Caenorhabditis elegans: one gene and its partners. The protein of the gene in region 2 binds, or shares a complex with, the protein of the main gene of each other region. Each region holds a gene or a part of one and is shown on either strand. Other genes may lie near its edges. The genes, in order: eif-3.E, eif-3.I and cif-1.

The links.
Region 1: eif-3.I (region 2) and eif-3.E share a complex: the UniProt entries of both Caenorhabditis elegans proteins name them as parts of the eukaryotic translation initiation factor 3 (eIF-3) complex.
Region 3: eif-3.I (region 2) and cif-1 share a complex: the UniProt entries of both Caenorhabditis elegans proteins name them as parts of the eukaryotic translation initiation factor 3 (eIF-3) complex.

Annotation. Positions count from the first base shown.
Region 1 is NC_003279.8:10,638,801-10,645,256, reverse strand, and holds eif-3.E (Eukaryotic translation initiation factor 3 subunit E), read left to right. Parts: upstream 1-2,975; 5' UTR 2,976-2,981; coding exon 2,982-3,071; intron 3,072-3,139; coding exon 3,140-3,415; intron 3,416-3,461; coding exon 3,462-3,938; intron 3,939-3,993; coding exon 3,994-4,449; 3' UTR 4,450-4,734; downstream 4,735-6,456. Other genes in the region: tag-344 (Protein kinase domain-containing protein), read right to left, coding at 1-285, 333-655, 703-807, 853-973; B0511.17 (DUF4283 domain-containing protein), read right to left, coding at 1,552-1,678, 2,113-2,228; cdc-26 (Anaphase-promoting complex subunit CDC26), read left to right, coding at 5,030-5,234, 5,280-5,338, 5,506-5,758, 5,803-5,870; mrps-30 (Mitochondrial Ribosomal Protein, Small), read left to right, coding at 6,301-6,456. UniProt on the Caenorhabditis elegans protein: Component of the eukaryotic translation initiation factor 3 (eIF-3) complex, which is involved in protein synthesis of a specialized repertoire of mRNAs and, together with other initiation factors, stimulates binding of mRNA and methionyl-tRNAi to the 40S ribosome.
Region 2 is NC_003279.8:2,482,680-2,491,117, forward strand, and holds eif-3.I (Eukaryotic translation initiation factor 3 subunit I), read left to right. Parts: upstream 1-3,181; 5' UTR 3,182-3,189; coding exon 3,190-3,325; intron 3,326-4,128; coding exon 4,129-4,562; intron 4,563-5,532; coding exon 5,533-5,887; intron 5,888-6,761; coding exon 6,762-6,820; 3' UTR 6,821-7,108; downstream 7,109-8,438. Other genes in the region: abtm-1 (Iron-sulfur clusters transporter ABCB7, mitochondrial), read right to left, coding at 2,519-2,596, 2,644-2,703; Y74C10AR.2 (Conserved secreted protein), read left to right, coding at 524-973; ddx-10 (ATP-dependent RNA helicase), read left to right, coding at 7,305-7,511, 7,558-8,178. UniProt on the Caenorhabditis elegans protein: Component of the eukaryotic translation initiation factor 3 (eIF-3) complex, which is involved in protein synthesis of a specialized repertoire of mRNAs and, together with other initiation factors, stimulates binding of mRNA and methionyl-tRNAi to the 40S ribosome.
Region 3 is NC_003282.8:4,704,244-4,712,737, forward strand, and holds cif-1 (COP9/Signalosome and eIF3 complex-shared subunit 1), read right to left. Parts: upstream 6,513-8,494; 5' UTR 6,237-6,512; intron 6,151-6,236; coding exon 6,039-6,150; intron 5,540-6,038; coding exon 5,079-5,539; intron 4,345-5,078; coding exon 4,015-4,344; intron 3,085-4,014; coding exon 2,899-3,084; intron 2,847-2,898; coding exon 2,763-2,846; 3' UTR 2,611-2,762; downstream 1-2,610. Other genes in the region: yars-2 (Tyrosine--tRNA ligase), read right to left, coding at 6,665-6,871, 6,922-7,590, 7,640-7,776, 7,825-7,997, 8,049-8,150, 8,198-8,253. UniProt on the Caenorhabditis elegans protein: Component of the eukaryotic translation initiation factor 3 (eIF-3) complex, which is involved in protein synthesis of a specialized repertoire of mRNAs and, together with other initiation factors, stimulates binding of mRNA and methionyl-tRNAi to the 40S ribosome.

The DNA of each region.
Region 1 (6,456 bases), 8.2 Mb from region 2:
GATCATTTTCCTTGGGTCACGATCATCAAATGGCATTGATCCAGCCAGCATTATGTAGAGAATGACCCCAGTACTCCATACGTCAACTGCATTTCCAGAATATTCTCTGCCACGAAAAATTTCTGGAGCCACATATGCTCGCGATCCACAGAATGTTCCAGATTTTTCACCCGGTTTCAGAATTCTCGAGAATCCGAAGTCGCCGAGCTTCACATTTCCATGTTTATCCATAAAGATATTTTCGCATTTGAGATCCCGATGCACAATGTTATAGGATTGCAGATGCTGAATTTATAAATTTAAGAAAAACAGTTTTCTGATATAAAACTTACAGTAAGTGCTGCAATAAGTTGACGAAATGTGAACTTTGCATCTTCCTCTTTCATTGCCACGATATCCTTCATTTTACGGAGCAAATCTCCTCCAGCACAGTACTCATTGACGAAGATGATGTGATCTTGAAATGAAATCATCTCGTACAAACGACAAATATTATCGTGTTTCAAGAGCTTGACAATCTCTTTTTCACGTGGCAAAAACTTTTTGATGTAGTCCTCTTTTTCACGAGTTGGCGTAATGTTGATGATTTTCGCTGCAACTTCGAGCTTTTTCTCTCCGAAAGTTGCGCGTGCCACACGGGAATAGGAGCCACTACCTGTAAATTAATGAATTATAAATTGGAATTAATTTCCAAATGATTACCGAGAACTTTCTCAAATTTGAGCTTCCAGACCTTCTCGAGTGTTGGAGCAAAAGCTTTCGTTTTTGGACTCAGTTCATCAGGTTCTTCTTGGTTCTCAGAAACATCTGAAAATTAGTTATTTTCTCTGAAAATCTGCATAAAATTCTTACCTGTATTGTTTTCCGTTGCCATTTCAACAATTTGCCAGAGAAATATGAATTCAAAATACTGCGAAATTGGTCGATTTTGGTTCGATGAATATTGATTAATAGATTTTTCTTCTCGATTCATCAGTTCATCAAGACATTTTCACGTTTCACGAAAGGTCACTTTTTTTTCGATTTTTCCTTGATTTCTCCGTAAATTTTCTTTGTTGAAAATGTTTAATTAACATTTTATCGGGAAATAAAAATGTTCGCTACTAACTATTTGCTTTCTGGCGCCTGTTACACACCTCATAACATGCCTAATTCCTATAATCTGGATTCGATAATATTATAGGTTTCTTTAAAATGAAGTCTTTGAAAAAGCATGGATTAGAATGAAAATATAAATAATATGATAATTTGAGAGTAATTGAATAACATATACATTTATAAAACAGAGGGTAAAATGGAGTAGTGCTAGTGGGGGACATTTTTAAAAATTCGAAAAGACCCAAATATCAAAATATAACATTCCAACTTGAAAAAAAAACTGTTTGCACCCAAAAAGTTAAGATTTGGCAGCTGGAAATCTACCAAAACAGTTTTGAACAAATTTTAGCGGTTATTTGAAAATTGAGATCTAAAAATTGTTTGCCTTTTTTATTTTGATATCTTGGTCAATTTCAGTGTATTCTGACATAACAGCAACTGGCTTAAATTGAATTAATAGTTATCGTTTTTCCATACAACAAAATCAAGGCATTCTTCGATAAAATTGACGGTTGCAATTTGTCCATCGTCGCTCTCAATATCCCATCCAAGTGTACAATCCAATTCGTCTATTTTGTATCTGAATGTTATTATTTTTCAAATAAAATAATTTAGCTTTTTTCCTTTAATCTCTACAGTAGATAGGTAGCAAGAATTTCTTCAATTAGTATGGCACCCCATCGTTCACGGTTGAGAGCTTATATCTCGGTTGTTTTCAAAAATAATTAACTGATGAAATATTTGGTAGTTCTTTTTATATCGTTTTGTAGTTAATAGTTTTATGATATCTTTGAAATGAACCGAGATATAACCTTTCAAAGTAAAGTAGTCTGTTGAACTAATAGAGGAAATACGGTATGTCAAGATCTTTAGAAACAATATGTGTAACCAAGACCCACAAGTCAAACTATATAGTCAGGTTTTGTTTCAACTGGGTGGCACACTACCCTCAAGAATCAGGGCTCTTCATGTAGCCCACTCGCCAGCTCTACGACAAATAATTTATATTCTCACTTGAACACTTTTGGTCTTCGCTTTCCATTCCACGGTCTGTGAATAATTCGATGCATTACTCCTTCATAGTTTTGAGGTCCATATGAATTGAATCGTATTCTTCGTAGATTCGGCATTCCTCCTGACATCAAATACCCGAATTTAATGTTGATCAAACCGAAATGGGGCAACCTGACACCACATGAATTTACGGTCTCGTCTGTTCCCAAAAATTAATAATAAAGCATTCTAAATTTTACTGTTCGCTTTTCTGTGCATTTCAAAATTTGAAATTTCATAAAACTTGTGTCTCTGACACATCGGTAAAATTTGGCACACTATTATTGAGATCGTTGCGGGACCCACTCGAAAAATTAATATGTGATTTTAAACTGACATTTCACAATTACAATATTTAAGCATTGCTTTAAAGCCACACAATGTTTTTCGGGGTGGGTCTCGATACGGGCTCGGGTCTTAATATCTTGTAACTCTTCCTAATCCCAGGAACATTATGATTCGTTCGTAATTTCTCAATTTGAATATTTTAAATTAAAAAACTTTTAACTGAAATTTTAGAACCAAAAAACTCCGAAATATTTTTCAAATGTCGCAAATTGCAGTTTTCGGTTATTCTTCTCGTAGTTCTACTTCTCGCAGTTCTCATTTCGCTGGTGGCTCGTGTTGGCAGGCAGTAGCAACGACACTCCGATATTCCATAGCGCGCGTTGTTTATCATTTCCTCCTTTCCCGGCGAATTTCTCCTAATTTCTCGATTTTCTTTCTGCAATTTCATTGTTTTTGTTTTATTTATGTTTTCCGTTAAGAAAATTGATTGGAGTTTTATTAGAACATATTACTATACTAATACGCTTATTTTACAGGTAAAAATGTCGACATTCGACCTGACTCAGCGCATGGCGCCTTTTCTCGATCTTCATTTGATCATTCCGCTCTTGGAGTTCATCGAACCACGAGGAGTAAGATTTAAACAATAAATTGTTGATTCTGAAATAGCTGAATTTATTTATATCAATGATAATTGCAGATTTACGATGAGAAATCCCTGACCGAAATGCACCGCCAGCTTTTGACCAAGACCAATATGATTGATAGTGTTATAGAGACCTACAATGGAAAACCTATTCCGGCTGCAATTGAGGCTAAGAAGAAGCAAATTATCAAGGAGAGAGATGAGCTGAAAAGCAAGGTGGACTCCGTTGTTGCCATTTTGGAAATACCGGAAGTCAAGGAAATGATGGATAACAACAGAGAAAGAGATGGAAATGTCCGTATTTTGGAGCATCTCACTCAAAACCACAATGTACGTTTTTGCTTTGCAGTTTCGAAAATAATCTTAATTCTTGCAGTTCACAGTAGACATGGTCGATACCCTCTTCAAGTACAGCAAGTTCATGTACGAATGCGGAAATTACACCGTCGCATCCGTGTGCCTTTACTACTACCGCAACCTTGTCAATCAAGCGGATCCAAACTATTTGAACGCTCTTTACGGAAAGTTGGCCAGTGAAATTCTGCTCCAAGAATGGGAACATGCTCGTGACGATTTGCTGAAACTTCGTGCTTACATCGATGCTAATCCATTCGACACGGAATGGGAACTTGTTACGCAACGTGCGTGGCTTATGCACTGGGCACTTTTCGTCTACTACAATTATCCAAAAGGGCGTGATGAGATTATCGAAATGTTCTTGAACCAGCAACCTTATTTGAATGCAATCCAAGTTTTGGCGCCACATTTGCTCCGCTATCTGGCTGTTGCCGTTGTTACCAGCAAAAGCCGCCAGAAGAACAGCTTGAAAGATTTGGTGAAGGTCATTGACATCGTGAGTTTAACTATTTTCTATATGAAAATATGATTAATTATTTGTTTTTCTACAGGAACGCCATAGTTACAAGGATCCCGTCACTGATTTCCTCACCTGTCTCTACATCAAATATGATTTCGACGAGGCTCAAGAGATGCTTCAAAAGTGCGAAGAGGTTCTCTCCAATGATTTCTTCCTGACTGCTGTCCTTGGAGATTTCCGCGAGTCTGCACGCCTTCTCATTTTCGAGATGTTCTGCCGCATTCATCAGTGCATTACCATAGAAATGCTAGCACGACGATTGAATATGAGCCAAGAGGAAGCTGAACGCTGGATTGTTGACTTGATCAGAACGTATCGTATCGAAGGAGCTAAAATTGACAGCAAGTTGGGACAAGTGGTGATGGGTGTCAAATCCGTCAGCATCCACGAGCAAGTCATGGAAAACACGAAGAGATTGACCCTCCGCGCTCAACAAATCGCCCTTCAATTGGAAAAAGGTCGTCAAGACAAAGTCAAGGCGACTTAGGCTTTACAAGTTCTTCCGGTTTTGAATGTTTTTTCCTTTTTCTTCATCTGATGCTGTTCTGAAAATTGAGATGTGGCAAACACGGAGATTAAGACTGTCATCTCTCAGTTTTCAGTATTATTTTTCTTTCTTATTTGTTCAGCTCCTCGGTTTTTTACGAGGACTACTCGAATTCTGTCTTTTCTAAACTTTCCTTATATCCCTGTTGTTTCTTTTTGTTGTCTCTGACCCTTCTTTCGTTAGTGCAGGGGCTGGAGGTTCGGTTCTAATTGGTTAAAATAATATATTTTCTCTTTTATCATGGTTTGATTATTGTTAGAATCTAGGTTTATGAAACCTTTCAATATATATTTATTGCCGTTGCCGAGAAATTGTTTGAAATTATTTTTTGTGAGGAAAAACACTTCCATCTGTATATTTTGTCATTTCTGTTGAATTTGCCTTACTTTTTCGCTAATTACAGAAATATTTAAGCCATAGGTTCGATTTTGCCGTTTAAAAATTAAATCTCCAAAAATACACATTTTCGCCAATTCACAGTTTTTATGAAATTAAATAATTTATCTCACTCTTTTTCAGTATGTCAATGTTACGGCGTCCATTAACACAATTAGAATTGTGTGAGGACGATATCCAATGGCTGACAGATCAACTGAACAAGAGGGTACTTCCAGCTGTGATCGTGCCAAAATGCGAAATGATGGATATTGACGAAATGGAGCCGATGGATCAGAGTGAGCCTCCACGTGGCATAACTAGGAGAAATCTCAGATCGGCGGATAGAAGTGAGATGATGATTTATTTAATTTTTCCTAACCTAGCTTTTTCAGAGAACAGAGACGTTCCAGGACCAAGTACGGGAGAGTGCACGCGTACTTCCATTGCACCGGTAATTTTTTTTTTTAAATTAAATGTTTTAAACATTACCTTTTAGAATCGATGTGAAATGTCATTCACTGAAGTGCAGGTGACATAATTTTGTGTTGTTGGTGTTTCGAACACTTATTTCTATTCACTTTTTCATATTTATCTTATGGCTATTCTCCGTATTTCCAGACTTTAACATCTGCTCGAACTCCTGTCGCTGCTCCAACTCTAACACTTTCGACGCCAGTCAACCCTGTCTCATCAGCTGAAATGTTGAGAGTTATGCCACCTCGTGTAGGTCGACGTCCACGAGCTTCTCGTTCTGGTGACAATGATTCGCCACTCCTCTTCAACGCTTATGATACACCACAGCAAGGAATCAATGACGAATCTCCAACACCCTCTGACTCTCCCGAATCTCCTAATGCTCATCTCTATGGTGGTCAATGAGTTGTTGGAGGAATATTGTCAATATTTTATTTTCAGCTACTCCCGGCAATCCTACTTCAACTTCTGGAGGACCTTCTTCAAATACACGATCTCACAGACACTAACAACTACTGGTCAGGGTTGTGTTTAGGCAAACGTGCAAAACCCGCTTATTTCAATATAATAATTCACTTTTTGATCTAAAATTGATTTAGAAACGTAGAAAAACTTTTAGAGGTCTTCTCAAGCTTTTCATTAAAAGTGAACCGTTTTATACATTTCTATATTTATCAATTTTTAATTTTTTAAAAACTTGGATTGTTATACTGAAATTCGCAGTTTTACACGCCCTGCTACTGATCTCCCTTTCAATTCCAACTTCCTCAGCGTGCTTTCTTCTTTTTTCGAACTAAATAAATTTGTACAATATTTGAAACAAATATTTCTGAAATGCTACATTTACTGTCATAGTCTGTGATTTTTCTATCTTTCTTTGTTTTTTGAAATTCCAATATTTCATTAATTCTTCACCAGCCCTGTTTCAGAAATTGCAAGATGCACGGGTTAAAACGAAGTCTGATGATCAGAACAGTCTGCCGTGGAAAGGCAACAACTGCAGGAGCAGATCTACCACAATCATCACAAGAAATCGAAGTTACCACCCCAAAATCAGAAAATGTTCCAGCCAAATCAGCGAACGCTTCAACTGTA
Region 2 (8,438 bases):
AAAAATGCTAAAAGCTAGTTTGAAAGGCAGAAATATAATTTTTAGCTGGATTTTTTGAAAATATTGCCAATTTTCGTCATTTTTTCTCTCATTTTTTCCCCGAAAATTTACAAAAACTGTAGATTTTCGGGGGTTTTAGGTAATTTAAAAATTTTAAAAATCCTGTCTGGAGGCCTAAGCCTAAGCCTACGCCTAAGCCTAAAGCTAAGCCTAATCCTAATCGAAAGATTAAGCCTAAGCCTTTGCCTAAACCTAAGTTTAAGCCTGAGCCTAAGCCTAAATCTAGCCTAATCCTAAGCCTGAGGCTGATCCTTAACCTAAGCCTAATCCTAAGCCAAAGCCTCAGCCTAAACCTAGGCCTAGTAAGATCAAAAACACTCCCATTTTCAAACATTTTTTGCCGAAAAAAGTGATTTTTAGCTCCAAAATTTCGAAAAAATCACAGCAATTCCGGTTTCTCATCGACTTTTTCCCCGTAAATCCAGGTTTTCAAGCTCCGCAAACTCTGAATTTTCTCCAGAAAATGAGCTCAACACTGGCCCTCTTCACCGCCATCGTACTCATGGCGTCGAGCACAGTTTTGTCCCTAAAAGTCGGTGACGACTGTGATCTCGGAAACCGGCGCCGAATCGGCAAGGGAAGTTACTACGAGGCATGTGTGAGCAAATACGAGACAGCCGGATGCTTTGCCAGTTGGGAACAGGACGAGAAATCGCAATTCGTGAAGAACGAGGAGACAATCGATCGAATGTACAAGAATAATGCCGTCGGATTCAGATATAAATGTGAGATGAGCAATGGATACATCTCGTTTGCTCCGATTGGTTGTGTGCTCAATAAGAAGGCGGGGCTTGAGCTGTTGGAGTTGAATGCCAGCGGACAACTTGATAATAGACAAAATGTGAAATGTAAGCAGAATAACGAAGGAGAATTCAGTTTTGAATTCGGATCAGAAGCTCAGAAGAAGAATTAATTGATTTTTTAATGTCTTTTTTCGAATTTGGGACACGTTTTTGAGCTTTTTGAGCTAATAAAGTTGATTTTTAAGCATTTTTTCATGATTTTAAGGTAGAAAAATCGAATTTTCACCAAAAAAAACTGGGAAAAAACGCAAAATTGTTCCACTTGTGGAGGTATTCTCATGTTCCCGTGGAGTAGAAAAGCCTAAGCCTAAGCCTTAGCTTAAGCAGTTGAGCTTCATCTCAAATTTGTGATTTTTGAGAATTATTTAAAGCTTCCGATTGAACAAAACTGCACAATTTCTGAAAAACGTGCTATTTCATCGTATTTTAGCTTAAAAATACGATTTTTTGCTCGAAAAATCGCTATTTTGACCAAAATTCAACGGAAAATTCAATTTTTCCATTAAAATTCCACTGAAATTCATATTTTTCGAGGTAAACCGCAGGTTTCGTTTGCTCCGATGAGCTGTTAGAGTTGAATGCCAGTGGACAACTTGATAATGGACAAAATGTGAAATGTAAGCAGAATAACGAAGGAGAACTCAGTTTTGAGTTCGGATCAGAAGCTCAGAAGAAGAATTAATTGATTTTTTAATGTCTTTTTTCGAATTTGGGACACGTTTTTGGTGCTTTTTGAGCTAATAAAGTTGATTTTTGAGCATTTTTTCATGATTTTAGGGTGTAAAAACCTAATTTTACACCAAAAAACTGGGTTTTTCGGATGAAAAATGCAACTTTCCAAGTTCCTTTGGAGCTTCCGAGCTTCATCTCAAATTTGTGATTTTTGAGAATTGTTTGAAGCTTGCGACAACACAATTCCTGGAAAACGTGCTATTTCATCGTATTTTTGCTTAAAAATACGATTCTAAGCACGGAAAGTTGCTACTTTGAACGAAGTTCAACGGAAAATTCAATTTTTCCATTAAAATTCTACTGAAAATCATATTTTTCGAGGTAAAATCCAATTTTCGCAGATTCCATTTGTTGATTTTTAAGCATTTTTTTAAAATGATTTTAAGGTGAAAAAATCCAATTTTCCCCGAAAAACTGGACTTTTCTTAAGAAAAATGCTAGATTTTTCCAGTTCTGGAAAGATTCCCACGTTCCAGTGGTGCTTTCCAGCAACTTTTTCACAAATTTCTGTTTTTTTTTTCAAAATAAACTGCTTTTTTTTTTAGAAATTATATATTTTTTGAGCAGAAAAAGTGAAAATTTCGATATATATTAGGCCTAAAATGGAATTTTTTGAAGAAAATTCAGAAAAAAATTAATTTATAAAAGAGAAAAATCGATATCTCAGCTACCGTAAAAGCTTTAAAGGCGCATAGCAAAATTTAATTCTAACTTTAGAGACTGTAGTTTTCGCTTCGAGACCACAAGCTTATTTTTCGCTCTAATTGGCTAAAAATTAACTTTTTCGAGGCAAAAATTTCTGGAATTAGCTTTAAAAAATGTGAAAATACATATTTTTAACCTAAAAATTCATGGAAATTTCTATAAAATGTTTTTTAAGGATTTTAAAACGTTTTTTTCAACAAATTATCGCAAAACCCCACATTTTTACTAAGAATCTGTGTGGCATTTCTGATGAGTGCTGGTGATTTTGTCAGTGACGAGAAACTGCGGTAAACTGCCTGAAAATCAATATTTTACCGGAAATTCTCGGGTTTTTTAACGATACCTGCGATCTGATAGTGTTTGACGCGTTCCGTAGGCCAGCTATTAGTCGTAATTGTAACATTATCGATCTCTGAAAACTGGATTCGGTGAAGCTTTCGCAAAAAAATCGATGAGAATTGAGAGTTGCGAAATTTAGCAGTTATTTGTGGTGGAACATGTTAAAATTTGAGTTTTTAATTAATATATTGCTAAAAATTTGATAAAATTCACTTTTTAATTGTTGAAAACTACTGAAAACCACTCGAAATTGCTGAAAATTGCTGAAAATCGAAATTTCGTCAGCTGATGTCGATTATTCTGCGCGGGGGTACGGTACGCAAGTCCGCAAACACTGTCACGCCAAATTGCGGAGGTTGAGCCAAATCCTATTTCTTGTTGTTTTTTCGCTTATTTTTCGAATATTTCCCATGTTTTCTGGCTTCTAATTTTCATTTTTTTAATGGAATTTATTAATAATTAAGCCAATAATTCATTTTATAATCAAAACTGCCGAATATTCCACCAATTTCTCGCAGAAACCTTCAAAAATAGGGGATTTCTTTCAGAAATGCGTCCACTTTCGCTGAAAGGCCACGAACGTGCTCTCACTCGGGTCCGTTTCAATCGTGAGGGAGATTTGACGTTCTCCTGTGCTAAGGACAAGAAGCCATGCGTTTGGTATACTGAAAATGGAGAGAGAATCGGTATTTTTGAATATTTTCGCGAAAAATTTTCGCAGAATTAAAGGTGGAGTAGCGCTAGTGGGAAAATTGCTTTAAAACATGCATATGGTACCACAATGACCGAATATCATGATTAAAAATTTCAAAAAAATTTTCTAAATTTTATATGATTTTTTGAAAATTGAAAAAATCTCAGTTTTTGCCTAATTTCAATTTTAATTACCGCCAATTGGATTTGTTCGATGGAGCGCGCTTGCACGTTTTTAAATTTATTTATTTTATTTATTGTTATTTTCCACCGATTTTTAATGTTTTCGGTGTATTTTTGCTTGAATTTTAGAGAAAAAGTCAAAAGAATTGCAAATTTTCAATTAAAAAGCACGCTTACAGGCGTAAATCAGTGAAATTTATTAATTCAGGTTCGAAATCGTTTAAAAGCGTTACTTTTCATTTTTTACGCCTCTAAGCGTGCTTTTTAATCGAAAATTTGCAATTATTTTGACTTTTTCTCTAAAATTCAAGCAAAAATACATCGAAAACATTAAAAATCGTTGGAAAATAACAAAAAATAAAATAAATAAATTTTAAAACGTGCAAGCGCGCTCCATCGAACAAATCCAATTGGCGGTAATTAAAATTGGAATTAGGCAAAAACTGAGATTTTTTTCAATTTTTCAAAAAATCATATAAAATTTAGAAAATTTTTTTGAAATTTTTAATCATGATATTCGGTCACTGTGGTACCATATGCATGTTTTAAAGCAATTTTCCCACTGACGCTACTCCACCTTTTAAATATATTTATTTATTATTTTTCTTTTCAGGTAGCTACGACGGGCATAACGGAGCCGTGTGGGATATCGACGTCTCATGGGACACTACCAAGTGTGTCACCGCGTCCGGAGACCTCACCGTGAAGATTTGGGATGCCGAGCTCGGCAACTGCCTCTACACAATCAACCATCAGACTCCGATGAAGTCGTGCGGATTCTCGTATTCAGGAAATTTGGTGTGCTTCACCACACAAAAGATGACAAAGAATCTCTCGACGTTCCAAGTCCGAGATCTTCGTGATTCAAGTCAAATGGTTGAGGGTGGAGAGTCATTCTTCTACTCACAATTCGATGTGAACGCCACGACCGCACTTTTCACTCAGATGGATGACCTCGTGACGATCGGATTCGAGTCTGGACTCCTTCAGCAGTACGATTTGAGAAATCCGGATACACCAATTCACACTAACGAGAGTGTTCATCGTGTTCGTCATTTTTTCGTTGTTCTCTGGAGCGCTTGCTGACACTTTACGATCTCCTGAATTGGCGGAAATTTTATTGCTAATTTTTGGTTTTTATTGTTGTGGGGAAACATTATTAGAGCCGAAAGTGTGTACAATTTGGAAAATTGGCGAAATTTCGCATTAAAAAACCGTGCGCGGCACAGTTGCGAAGAAGGCGTGCCAGGGTTGCATCCTGACTCCGCACACAAGATTAAAACCAAAAATTCGAAGAAATAATTTAGTTTTCTCGAAAAATGGAACAAAATCGGCAGTTTTTTCGATTTGAAAGCCGTGAAAATCTCATTTTGAAGAGAAAAAGCAGCAAAATCCGGCAGTGATTGATTATTTTGATTATTCTAATTTTTTTCAATGAAAAAACCAATTAAATCAATTAAAACTGTATTTTTCTCTACAAAAAATGTATATTTTAAAATTCTGAAATCAAAAAACTCCCGATTTTTGATGTAAAACCTTAAATTTTACGCGTTTTCGAGTCGTATAAAGCTTCCCAACAACAATATCCATCAAAAATTTATATTAATTTCCATAGAAACCAAAATTAGCAAAAAAACCTTATTTCCCGTGGAAACAAAATTCCGCGAATTCGGGAGTTCGTGAGGTGTCAGCAAGCGCGCTCCAATGATTATAAGACCGAGGCTCCACGAAATTCAAGATCTTGTGGAATTCCGGATCTGGCACCGTACCAACTCAAAAAAAATTAACGCAATTTTTCTGGAAAAAATCCTGACAACGATGCTCCGATGTTACGCATCGCGTGTTGTTTAGCGTTTTTCCTGAAGAAAATTTAAAAAAAAACCACATTTTTCTTCGAGAAAACTGCGAAAACTGCAGTTGGCACGGTGCCAGATCCGGAATTCGACGAGATCTTTAATCCGTGGTGCCTCCGTGATTTCTAAAATAATTTCAAAAAAAAAATTTCCCAAAATTTCAGTACAGCGTCCAAGATCTCCAACTATCACCACGCGGCGATTTCCTGATCTCCGCTTCACGCGACAAGACGGCCGCCCTGCTCGACGTGAACGATCTGAAAAAGCTGAAACAATACAAATCCGAGCGTCCCGTCAACTCGGCATGCATCTCACCGAATCGCGATCACATTTGCCTTGGAGGAGGAGAAGACGCGATGCAGGTCACACAGACGTCTGTCTCTGCTGGACACTTTGAAGCCAAGATCTATCATATGGTGTTCGAAGAGGAATTCGCCAGATTCAAGGGACATTTCGGACCGATTAACACGATGGCCTGGCATCCATCGGGCACAATTATCGCGACTGGAGGAGAAGACGGTATGGGGATTCCACTGCAACTTTTTTTTTGAACGAGGGACGAGGAAATGCGGTTTCTAGGCCATGACCGAGGATCCGACAAGATTTATCAGCAATTTATCTTGCTTTGTTTTCCGCGTTTTTTCTTTTATTTTTCACCGATGTTTCCCCCGTTTTTTCTTATTAAAACTGATGAAGAAATATTGTTTTTGCAGATGCTAAAATAATTTTCAAGTGAAAAAATTGTGAATTCAGCCGGCAAGTAGCGGTGGAAGTGGTCAATGTAATATGATGGATTACGGGAATACTAAACCTAAACTTTCTTCCAAAACATGCTATAAATGCTGCTTAGATGCTGAAACTACCTGATTTTAATAACGAGACCGCTGAAAAAGTTTTGAGATTTTCAAAATTCAACCTTTTTGGCGAAAAAGTCGAGATTTTTCCACAAAATGTTGAATTTTGAAAATCTCAAAAAACTTTTTCAGCGGTCTCGTTATTAAAATCAGGTAGTTTCAGCCTCTAAGCAGCATATGTATCATGTTTCGAAAAAAGTTTAGTGTTTAGTATTCCCGTAATCCATCATATTACATTGACCACTTTCACCGCTACTTGCCGGCTGAATTCACAATTTTTTTCACTTGGAAATTATTTTAGCATCTGGTTTTAAAAAAATTTATTTATCAGTTTTAATAAGAAAAAAACGGGGGAAAAATCGGTGAAAAATAAAAGAAAACTCGCGGAAAACATTGCAAGATAAATTGCCGATAAATCTTGTCGGATCCTCGGCCATGGCCTAGAAACCGCATTTCCTCGTCCCTCGTTCAAAAAAAAGTTGCAGTGCGATTTGAGGATTTTTCATATAAAAATTCAAAAATTATTGATTTTTTTCCAGGTTACATCAGAATTCAAGAGTTCGACGAGGACTACCTCGGCTTCACCTACGATTTTTAATTTGTTCTACGTTTTCGTTTTCTTCCTGTTTCCCGGGCGATCGTATTTGCCAAAAAAAGACCGTTTCCCCCTTTTTCCTACTCGTTCCTGTTGAAAACCGCCTAATTTTAGAGTTTAAATGACGAATTTAAGCCTATGCAGTTCGGAAAACCTTTAAAATTTATCAAATTCTAAAATTACGCGGTGGTGATTTTCTGTTTTTTCCATTTTTTCCATATTTAAGATCAATTTTCGGTGGCTTTTAATTGTTTTTTTTTTCATAAATAAATATTATTTTGAGTTAAAATTGATCTATTCCCTCGAATTTCTTGGTTTTAATCTCCAATTATTATATTTTTAAAAAAAATTAATTTTTTCTCAATTAAAAATTAAGAAAAATTGTGGGCGGAGTCAGAATGCAACCCTGGCACGCTTTTTTCGCAACTGCCGCGCACGATTTTTCCTGCAATTTTTAAATATTTTTACCCAATTTTCAGCGTTTTCAATGCCTCACACAAACGGAAAAGGCGGCGGAGCACAGAAATGGGCTGGAAATAATAAAAGAAAACGAAATTTCGATGGCGAGCAGGATCCAAGTGTCAGAAAAGCGTTGAAGGAGAAGCGGCTTCTGAAAAAGAGAAAACAGGATTTAAAGGGACAGGAGGAGACAATGCTCGACGAAGTTGAGCAGAAATATCAGGAAATGCTCAAGGTAGCTCTAAAAAATAGTTTTTTTATTAAAAAATCGATTTTTCCAGAAAAGCTCCCGCACATTTCTCCGCTTCGAGGATTTCCCGCTCTCCTGGAGGACACTGGAGGGTCTCAAGGATAATGACTACACAAAACCCACAGAAATCCAACGGGACACGATTGCCTACTCTCTGACCGGCTCAGATGTCGTCGGAGCCGCAAAAACCGGCAGCGGAAAGACTCTGGCACTGGTGATCCCCGTGCTGGAGGCTCTTTGGCGAGCAAAATGGTCTCCAGACTATGGTCTCGGAGCGCTAATCATTTCACCGACACGAGAGCTGGCTCTTCAGACATTTAGCACAATTAACGCCGTCGGAGCCCATCACGGATTCTCGTGTGGCTTGGTTATCGGCGGAAGTGACGTGGCATTCGAGAGAAATCGCATCAGCGGGATTAATATCATCGTTTGCACACCGGGACGTCTCCTACAACACATGGATGAGAATGCTCAAATGAGCTGTGATTCGCTTCAAGTTTTGGTGCTCGACGAGGCGGATCGAATGCTTGATATGGGATTCTCGAAGCAGCTCAACTCGATCATTAATAATTTGCCCGCGGAACGTCAGACGCTGCTCTTTTCGGCTACTCAGACACGAAATGTCAAGGATTTGTGCAGAGTTTGCACAAATGTGAGGGATTTCGCCCGGAAAATTGAAATAATTCCGGAATGGTTCATTAATTGAATAGGAACACGGAAAAATCGGCAATTTAAACACGTTTTCCACGTCTAAGAATTCGATTAATTTCCCAAAATCTCAATTTTTGCTTAAAAATTTATTCTCAAATTTTAACACTAAAAAAAATCCAGAAACTAATTTTTCCGTGCCTTAAAACTCAATTTTCTTGGAAAATAACTCTCAATTTTCAAAAATTTGCATGAAATTCGTCC
Region 3 (8,494 bases), on a different chromosome or scaffold from region 2:
ATTTCGAAAATTTCAAGCTATGTTTAGCTAAGATCTTAAATTTTGCAAGAAAAAAATATCTGTTAGTCATTTTTTGCATTATTTTGAACAGAGACCACTAATCACAATTCTGTCTTATCACACCGAAAAATGTGGAAAAAGATGGAAATTTTGCATACGGAGCTTTCACTATCACTTAAATAATTACCTTCTGTTTGATAGACGTCTCAGGAATGAAAATGAAAAGTTTGGGAAAAAATGAGAGAAATTTGATTTGGACGGACGAATTTTTTTAAAAATTTTTTAATTCATTTAATTTTTTAATATTTATTTAAATATGATTTTAGTGCATTTCGTTCTGAATTTTTTAGTGAGGACTAAATACAATGAACTCAAAAAACTGAATTTCATAACGAGACTTTAAAAAATCGCTCAAAAAATAAATGACGGTTTTTGCTTAAAAATGTTTTGTTAGCTAAAAACCCACAACTTCGTCATTTTTTCTGTGTCCAAATTAGATTCAAATGCAACTAAATTATCGAAAACCCGTGAGAAAAACAATCCAAATATGCAGAAAATAGGACAATAATCAAATTAAAATCACTTTCTGAATTCTGCGAAACGGAAAAGGTGGCGAAATTGGAGGTTTTAGATTTAAAAAAAACCAAGCTATATTCAAGAATTTTTTAACCTCCATAAAAGTTTCGTTCTGAAATTCAGCTTTTTTGGGGCCATAAAACAACAATTTTGATCTGTTAGTCATCATTTAACATCACAAAATGTTCTTTTTTTCATCACCACTTAAATCGAAAGTATTTCCGAAGAACTGGTTTTTGTTTTGCTTTTATTGGGCGAAAACCTATAAACAAAAAAAAACAAGAGGATAACTTTCCGTTGTGCAAAATAAAGCTGTCAAAAAAGAAGAAGCTGCATAAGGAAATTGAGGAGCAGACACAACAAATTGAGAGTATTCAAAAAAAACGAAGAGAGGAGAGAAAAAGAGTGGACATACACACCGCCCGTGTTCAAGATCATCTCATCATCGAACGATCCACAGGAGGGTGATTAAGCACAGAACTTCACACAGTTCGCCCGGGGGTTTACCCCTTCTCTCATGCCTCTCGGCGTCTCGTCAATGTTTCATAACACTCTCACGGGCGGCTCGCTTTCGAGGGGCGCCCAGCAGCACCAATCGGCCAAAGACAGAGAGAGAGAGAGATAGAGAGATGGAGGGAAAAAGAGAGAAAAAACCAGAGAATATGACGCATTTCGGTGGAGGAGTAGGAGGAGTAGGAGAAAAAGAAACTGATGAACACAGGCTGCGCGGATACGCGTATATACACACATATACAAACTACTTTTGTATTAGAAATATGTTCTACTTATGAAGCATCACAGAACCTACAAAAATATCAGTTTGATTCTTTAATTTGAAGATGAAGTAAAATGATTGGAAATTTGGTTTTAAAAATTTCAAGAACATCTCAAAAAATGGTGTCATCGGAGAATGTTTCGACTTTTCTGGAATATTGAAAATCTAATTTTTTTTAGTTAATTAACATTAAAATACAATTTTTAACGAAGTTTGTTTGAATTGATAAAAAGAAAAACACTAAGATAACATATGTATTCGTCCAAAAAATGTTAAGATATTTTTTTGAAAAATCTGAATCATTAGATTTCAGTGAAAAATTGAAAAATCGACACCCTCAGACCCAAATTCAGAAAAATCACGATAGAGAAACAAAAAAAAACCGGAATTATGGAAAATCCAAATTCTTTTTGATTTTTCAATTTTGGTTAAATTCTCGTCAATGTGAGATATTCAACAAATCAGAGATTTGCGCCGCCCACTTTTCCACTAATCAGAGGGTTGAAGTAGCCGGAGCGAATCGCTGATTGGTCCCAGCTCTCACTTTCGGAGGGAATTCAAGCAGGAGTACCAAGTATTTTTTAAACATTCGCTTGAAAAAAAAGAATCTTTCATTCTTTACCGATTTTTTTCGTTTTTCTTTTGTGTATTTTCTGAATTTAAGTCAATTTTCGATTTTTTTGGAGCCAAATTTTCCAATCACGTAGCTTCAGCTTTTAAAATAATTTTGTAGATCATTTTTTTCGCATATTTTGGTACAATTACAGTCTATAGGCGCACGAATTTCCAATTTTTGTGCACCTATCGACTGAAAATGTACCAAAATCTGGAAAAAAAATGCGGCAGTAACTTCTAAAATGTGCAAAATAGAGAAGGCATGGTTTTTTTTTAAATATGACTCGAATTTTTTAAATTTAATTTCAAAAAGAATTTGAGAAAAAGGAAAATTAACTAAAATTCCCGTTTTCATTAGCAGAATTTTTGGACTTTTCTTCAAAAAAAGGCTAGTTTCTCCGAACTCTGAAAATTAAGAACAAAGATTGGCTTCGTCCGTCAAGTGACAAACATCTGATTATCATCGAAGCGGAAGAGACTAATCTCTTGTCCCTCCGGCTCCACGAGCATCAGTGTAAAGTGAGACGCCCGTGTGCTTATCGCATAACAAAAAAACAAGATAAAGCGACGGATAAATAGAAATAATCGGGTTTCGAAGTGAACAAAATCCATATTAAGTCAGAAGAGTGGGGAACATTTTCTTTTTTTAAATCAACAGTTTATGGGGAAATTTTTCAAGAGAGAGATAGAAATTATAGAGGAGGGAACCAACAAAACGGGGGACTTTCATGGGAAGAAAATACGATAGGGAGAACCAAAAACAAATATATTAAAAAGAACAGCGAAAAAAAAACAATTAGAGAGCCTCGATTCTCTGATTCACTTCATGGACGTTGTTGTGCGTTTGCTTCAGATTTGCGATGAGGACTTTCAGGCGTTTCTGGAAAAAAATCAATTTTTAAATGGAAACCCAACGAGTAAATATTATATACCTCGAGTAGAACCCATTGTTCCGTTCCGAATCTTCTGTGCTGGTAGGAGCTGACGATGAGAGTTCGGGCCATTTCATTGATTTTTCCGGAAATCGCGTTCACCTGAATCGCGTCGATCACAAATTCTTCGAGGGTCTCATCGGCAAGAATGTCCAATTGTTTGGCCAATTCGTCGAGACTGATTTCCTGAAAAATTCAGCAATTTTTATTTAATTCGGACGTTTCAAATGTTATATAGCCAACCGACGTTTCCATATGGGTCTCGCCACGCAAACAACGAGTTACTGTATCGTAACTTCACATTTTTGCAATATGGGTCTCGGCGCGCTAAAAATCCAATTTTTCAACGAAAATTCAACATTTTCGCATTCAAAGGTGTTCAAATAATTTTGAGCTTTCTCTAACTGAAAAATTGTTAAAATTCGAGATTTCGCTCTTTACAGAAATGGAATATTCAACATTTTCCACAAAATTATAGGTTTTTCGGGAGATTTCCTAGAGACGAGTTATTGTAATTTTAAGAGATTATGACAGGTTTTTAACCTAAAAATCCTCATTTTTGGCCGGGTTTTCATTCGGAAAAAGTCGTTTTTTAGTCTTAGAATCTGCAAATTTGCAGTAAAAAAGTGTGAAATTTTGGTTTTTTGTATTTTTACACTAAAATTTTTACGAAAATTGCATGTTTTTAACCTGGAAATCCACATTAATGGATGTTTCTCATCCGAAAAGTTTGCAATTTATAATTTTTAGCTTTACATTTCAGGTTTTCAGCTTAGAAGTGCTCTTGAATTTTGATTGGAAGGTAAATGAAAAATTTCTGCGAAAATAAAAAAAAAACATATAAGCAGTTCGTAATTCGAGCTACAGTAACTCGTTGTGAGCGTGGCGAGACCCATTTTCTCCTCTTTAATCGTCTATGTAATATCATTCGCCAAAGCCGTTATTTAGTCTTAAAATCTGTAATTTTGCAGTCGAAAAACGATAAAAATGTGTTATTTTGACACTAAAACTTTTCCCTTGAATCATAAATTTCAATAAAATTGCTGCCAAGATTTTCGAAACGAGTTACAGTAACTCGTTGTGAGCGTGGCGAGACCCAGTAATATCCAAACGTACGTTCTTCTCTTCAGCAAGCGACATGAGTGTCAAAAGACGGATCTTCTTGAGAAGAATAGTCTCGTCAACCTTCAAGTGCTCGGTGACAAATTTCGGATTCTTGGCAACAAATTCCTTATAATCCTTGAGAGTTCCAGAGATGAACAACTCGAGAGCTGTGAACATCAGTGGATCGGAAGTCTTCAACGCTTTGACTGCACTGAGTCGTTCGAGATGATCAAAGGAGAATGATTTCGGATCGACGACAGCAGTTCTAACACATTCCATAGCATCATCTCGTGCTGCGGCAGCGTCCTTTTCTGTGTATGTTCCGAGAAGTGCAGTCATAACCTGGAAACACTTTTTTAAAGGTTATGAGGACTTATGATTTTGGCGTTTTAGCTTGTATTGACTCAAAAAAAAATTTCGTGATTTGAAAAATTTCTCAAATTTCTACGGCGATTTAAATCTCTCTCGAAAAATTTCGCTAATTTCAGCTAAAATCTCTGATTTGCCAACTTCTCGTGTCCCAACGGTCAGAAATAAACTTATTTCGGTGGTTTTCGGTAATTTTTTGTTAAATTATGGAAACTTCAAATTATGAAGAAAAGGTTCAATTTTGGTCCAATCTTTGTTGTTTTAGACAAAAGTCGGTCCACTTTTTGGCCAACTTTACAGGCCATTTTCAGTAGAAATTTTGTCATTTTTGGTTTACTTTTCGCGCTTTTCGTTCAATTTAGTCATTTTAGCTCAATTTTTAGTGGAATTTGGCCATTTTGGTTCAATTTTGATCGAATTTTGTTCATTCTTTGGCGAAATTTTGGCATTTTTGTCCACTTTTGGGGTTTTTGGCCAAATTTTGAACATTTTGGTGACATCACCCTCAAATGTACCGCAAACAACAAAACAGTGTGAGATAAGAGACCAAGATTCAATAAAAACTGTGTTCAAGCCGCGAGACGGGACAGTTTGCAAAATTGAAGACTTTAGCAGAAATTAAGCAATATTTAACCGCCATAATTTTTTTAAAGGCAGTTTTTGTGTCTAGCTAAGTATAAAAACCGATAGTTCTTTATCAAACCCACCTTGGCAGCCTGATCAACTCTCTGATCAACAAGAAGTGCACGATGAACTGCTCTCAAGATCTCGCGTTGTCCCTCGACTGGCGTCTTCCATGTGTTGAATCTATCTTGAAGAGTCTCAAGATTGCATTCCAGCTCTCCAATGAGTCTTGCTTCAGCGCACATATCAACGAGCGCCTTGAAGATCTTCTCCTGTACAGTATGGAAGTTCGAGTATCCCTTGTACAAATTCGAGAGCACACGAACGGCGATTCCGGCGTGACTAGCCCATCCGGTTCCCTTGTAGAATTGTGGAGCAACATTCTTGATGAATGAGTCGACGACTGGCTCACACTTCTCGCCTGGCACAACGACGATAAGAGATGATATCGAGTTGAGCACCAGATCGACGTCCTGGGACCATGAAGGAAGCACGTTGAGAGTGGAGCAGATTTCGATCATGTTTTGGGCGGTCTCTGATGGTCCTGAAATTTTTTAAATCCAAATTCTGAAGCAGGGCTGTACCGCAAATCTTTTCTGAAAGTTTACGTATTTCCATGGGAGAAATTCTACAAAATGATCTATTGCATCATGTTGTTCTAACATTTTTCATTAAAAATAATGTGAAAACATAGAAAATCACTTTGTTTATCTGAAAATATCGTTGATTTTAGTTGAGAAATGGCAATTTGTAAGCAATTTTCAAATGCTTAAACTAAAATAAATACTATTTAAGGCCAAATCAATTGATTTTATATATTTTTAGAACAATTTAAATTTTAAAAAAAGTGGGAACAACATGGTGCGATAGGAAAATTTTGTAGAATTGCCGTTTCCACATGATATATTCAATTTTTTGAGAAAGAAATTGATACAGAAATGTTGAAAAAGAGTCGATCGACCTGAAAATGATAAAGATCCAAAAAGATTGGATTAATCCATAATTATTATATCGAAAAAATCAGCTTTACAAGTTTTCCGCACCATTTGGATCAAGCTTCACACTATCGTGCTTGTTGAGGTATTGACGGAGCTCTTGGAGCTGCTTGACATCATCAATGTAGGCGAAAACTGGAAGCTCACGAGTGTCAGCCATCTGAAATATTGTACATGCAGTTTAGAAAATATGGAACTGTGAACGAGCAAAAAGGAGAAATGCACATCAAACTTCAACTCATTCACCTTTATTTCGCGGCGCTATCAACCGTTGCGATCTTCTCAATGTGTCCTTTCCGAATCGCTTCCAGCTGTCTCTGGCTTCTTCTCAAATGATGCTCAATGAGCAACAGGTCACTTGGCTCGAAACGTGTTGCAGCGGCGCGGAACTCGTGCCGAATATGCGTGCGAATGCTCGGGTCACGGCCACGGGAGGCGCGCAAAAAATCACGGTAGGTGGAGAGAACGAGCTTTTGAAGTTTGCTGTGCACTACTCCTCCGCTCATGCGAATAGAGACGAGCCGAAAATTATTCAGGAATAAAATACAAAAAATATGCTTGGAAACGAGAAAAAGAGATATAATAAAGCGTAGAGAACGCCGAGAATATGACACCACAAATACAACAAAAAAATGAATATTTATTTTCATTATAACAACTAAAACTGAACCTATTCAAACCCATCGAACCAGCTGGTAACCTCGTTTTCCCCAACAAACAAGGGTGAGATCGGAGGCATTTTCCAGGAAAACGTCTGCTATTGATTCCGATGGAGATCTTTTCTTCTCTCCATTCACTGAAAATGCTCCTTGTTGCATCAAAAGATGACCTTTCCCACTGCCTAGTCGAGATGCGTCCGCGAGTTGGCCCATTGTTGCTACCTGGGAAGAAAAAGAATAAAATCTTCGACAACTAATTTTTTGATGCTTACATTCTCCTTTTTCAAGTCAATTGTTGTTCTGAATAATTGCAATACTTCACTTCTCGACAATCCCGATAAATCAGCCTTCTTGGCTCCAAACATTGCTTTTGTACACCGCATCGCCACTTCTAAACCTTCTTTTCCGTGCACAATTCGAGTAATTTCGGCGGCCAACTCCCTCTGAGCAATCCATTGTCCAAGATTGCTCCTATGATTCTTCAGAACATCTCTTATATGTTCGATATCTTGCAAACTGAAAAGTAACAGAAGCTCTTCCGCTTTGTCATCGTGAAGCTGCGCGAAGAACTGATAGAAATGGAACGGAGACGTCTTCGTCGCATCAAGCCACAGCGCACCTCCTCCTTCAGACTTTCCGAGCTTGGCACCAGTAGAATCCGTCAGAATCGGGAAGCATACTCCTGCAGCGAAGGCTTGATTCATCATTTTCTTAATATAGTGAGCTCCAAAGTCCAGGTGACCCAATTGATCATATCCACCAAGCTGGAATCGACATCCATACTTTTCGGATAACGTGTACCAGTCGAATGCTTGCATTGTTTGATAGCTGAATTCAGTGTACGATAATCCAACTTCCAGCCGATTCTTTATCGTATTCATTCGAAGCATCTTTCCGACTTGCATATTCTTGCATTCTCTCAGGAAATCTCGTAGACTAATCTGAAAAATATAACATTTTCTTTCTCATCATAGCAAGCCGAATGACTACCTTTCCTAGCCAATCATTATTGTTCACGATGATCGGCTTCTCGCTTGATCCCGGCGCGTTCTCAAAAATCTTGCAGATCTGATCTGTTACTTTCCTCGAGTTGTGCATAATTACATCGCCGGCCAGAAGACCCCGTTCTGAAGGTCATGATTTATTGAGTTTTCAGCGCTTTTCTAGGTAAAAACCTGATTTCTTTCCGCTCGGATCTCCAATACTGGCAGTGAATTCTCCGATCAATGCAATTGGACGTATTCCAAACTGCTGTGCACGAATTAAATTGACGAGAATCAGAAGATTTCCAATGTGAAGGCTCTCAGCAGTTGGATCGAAACCAGCATACACATAAGGTGGAAGCTGCCTGAAATTAAATGGATTATTTGCGGAATTTCGTAACATTCACAAGTTCAACCTCAAATCTTCGCTACATTTAGACAGCAGGTCCGTTGGATACGAGTGTTGCAGCTGTTTTCTCGCGTTTAAGTCGGTGATGTAATCCACGAATGAGCTTTCTCTGAAAAAAAACGAAAAATTAGAATAACCCACTAGCAATTGACTCACCGAGGTGCACGTACCGTTTTTAAGGCCACATTTCCGATTCGTTTGCTGTTGAACATTGTGTACTAGCGGTAGCTGCATAAAAATATAATAGAAATGATATTTTAGTAAAAGAAAATGATTAAAATCCCGTTTTTAGGGACCGCAGTTTCCACAAAACTCCGCGCGGTGGTCGGAGAAAATCCTCGGCCACCCGGCCACGAAAACTCGGCCATTTTGCATTTTCACCATTTTTCATTAATGCTCATTTAAATTGGTTTTCAGCCGAAAATGTGTTAGAAAACCAGCATCTAGTCGATT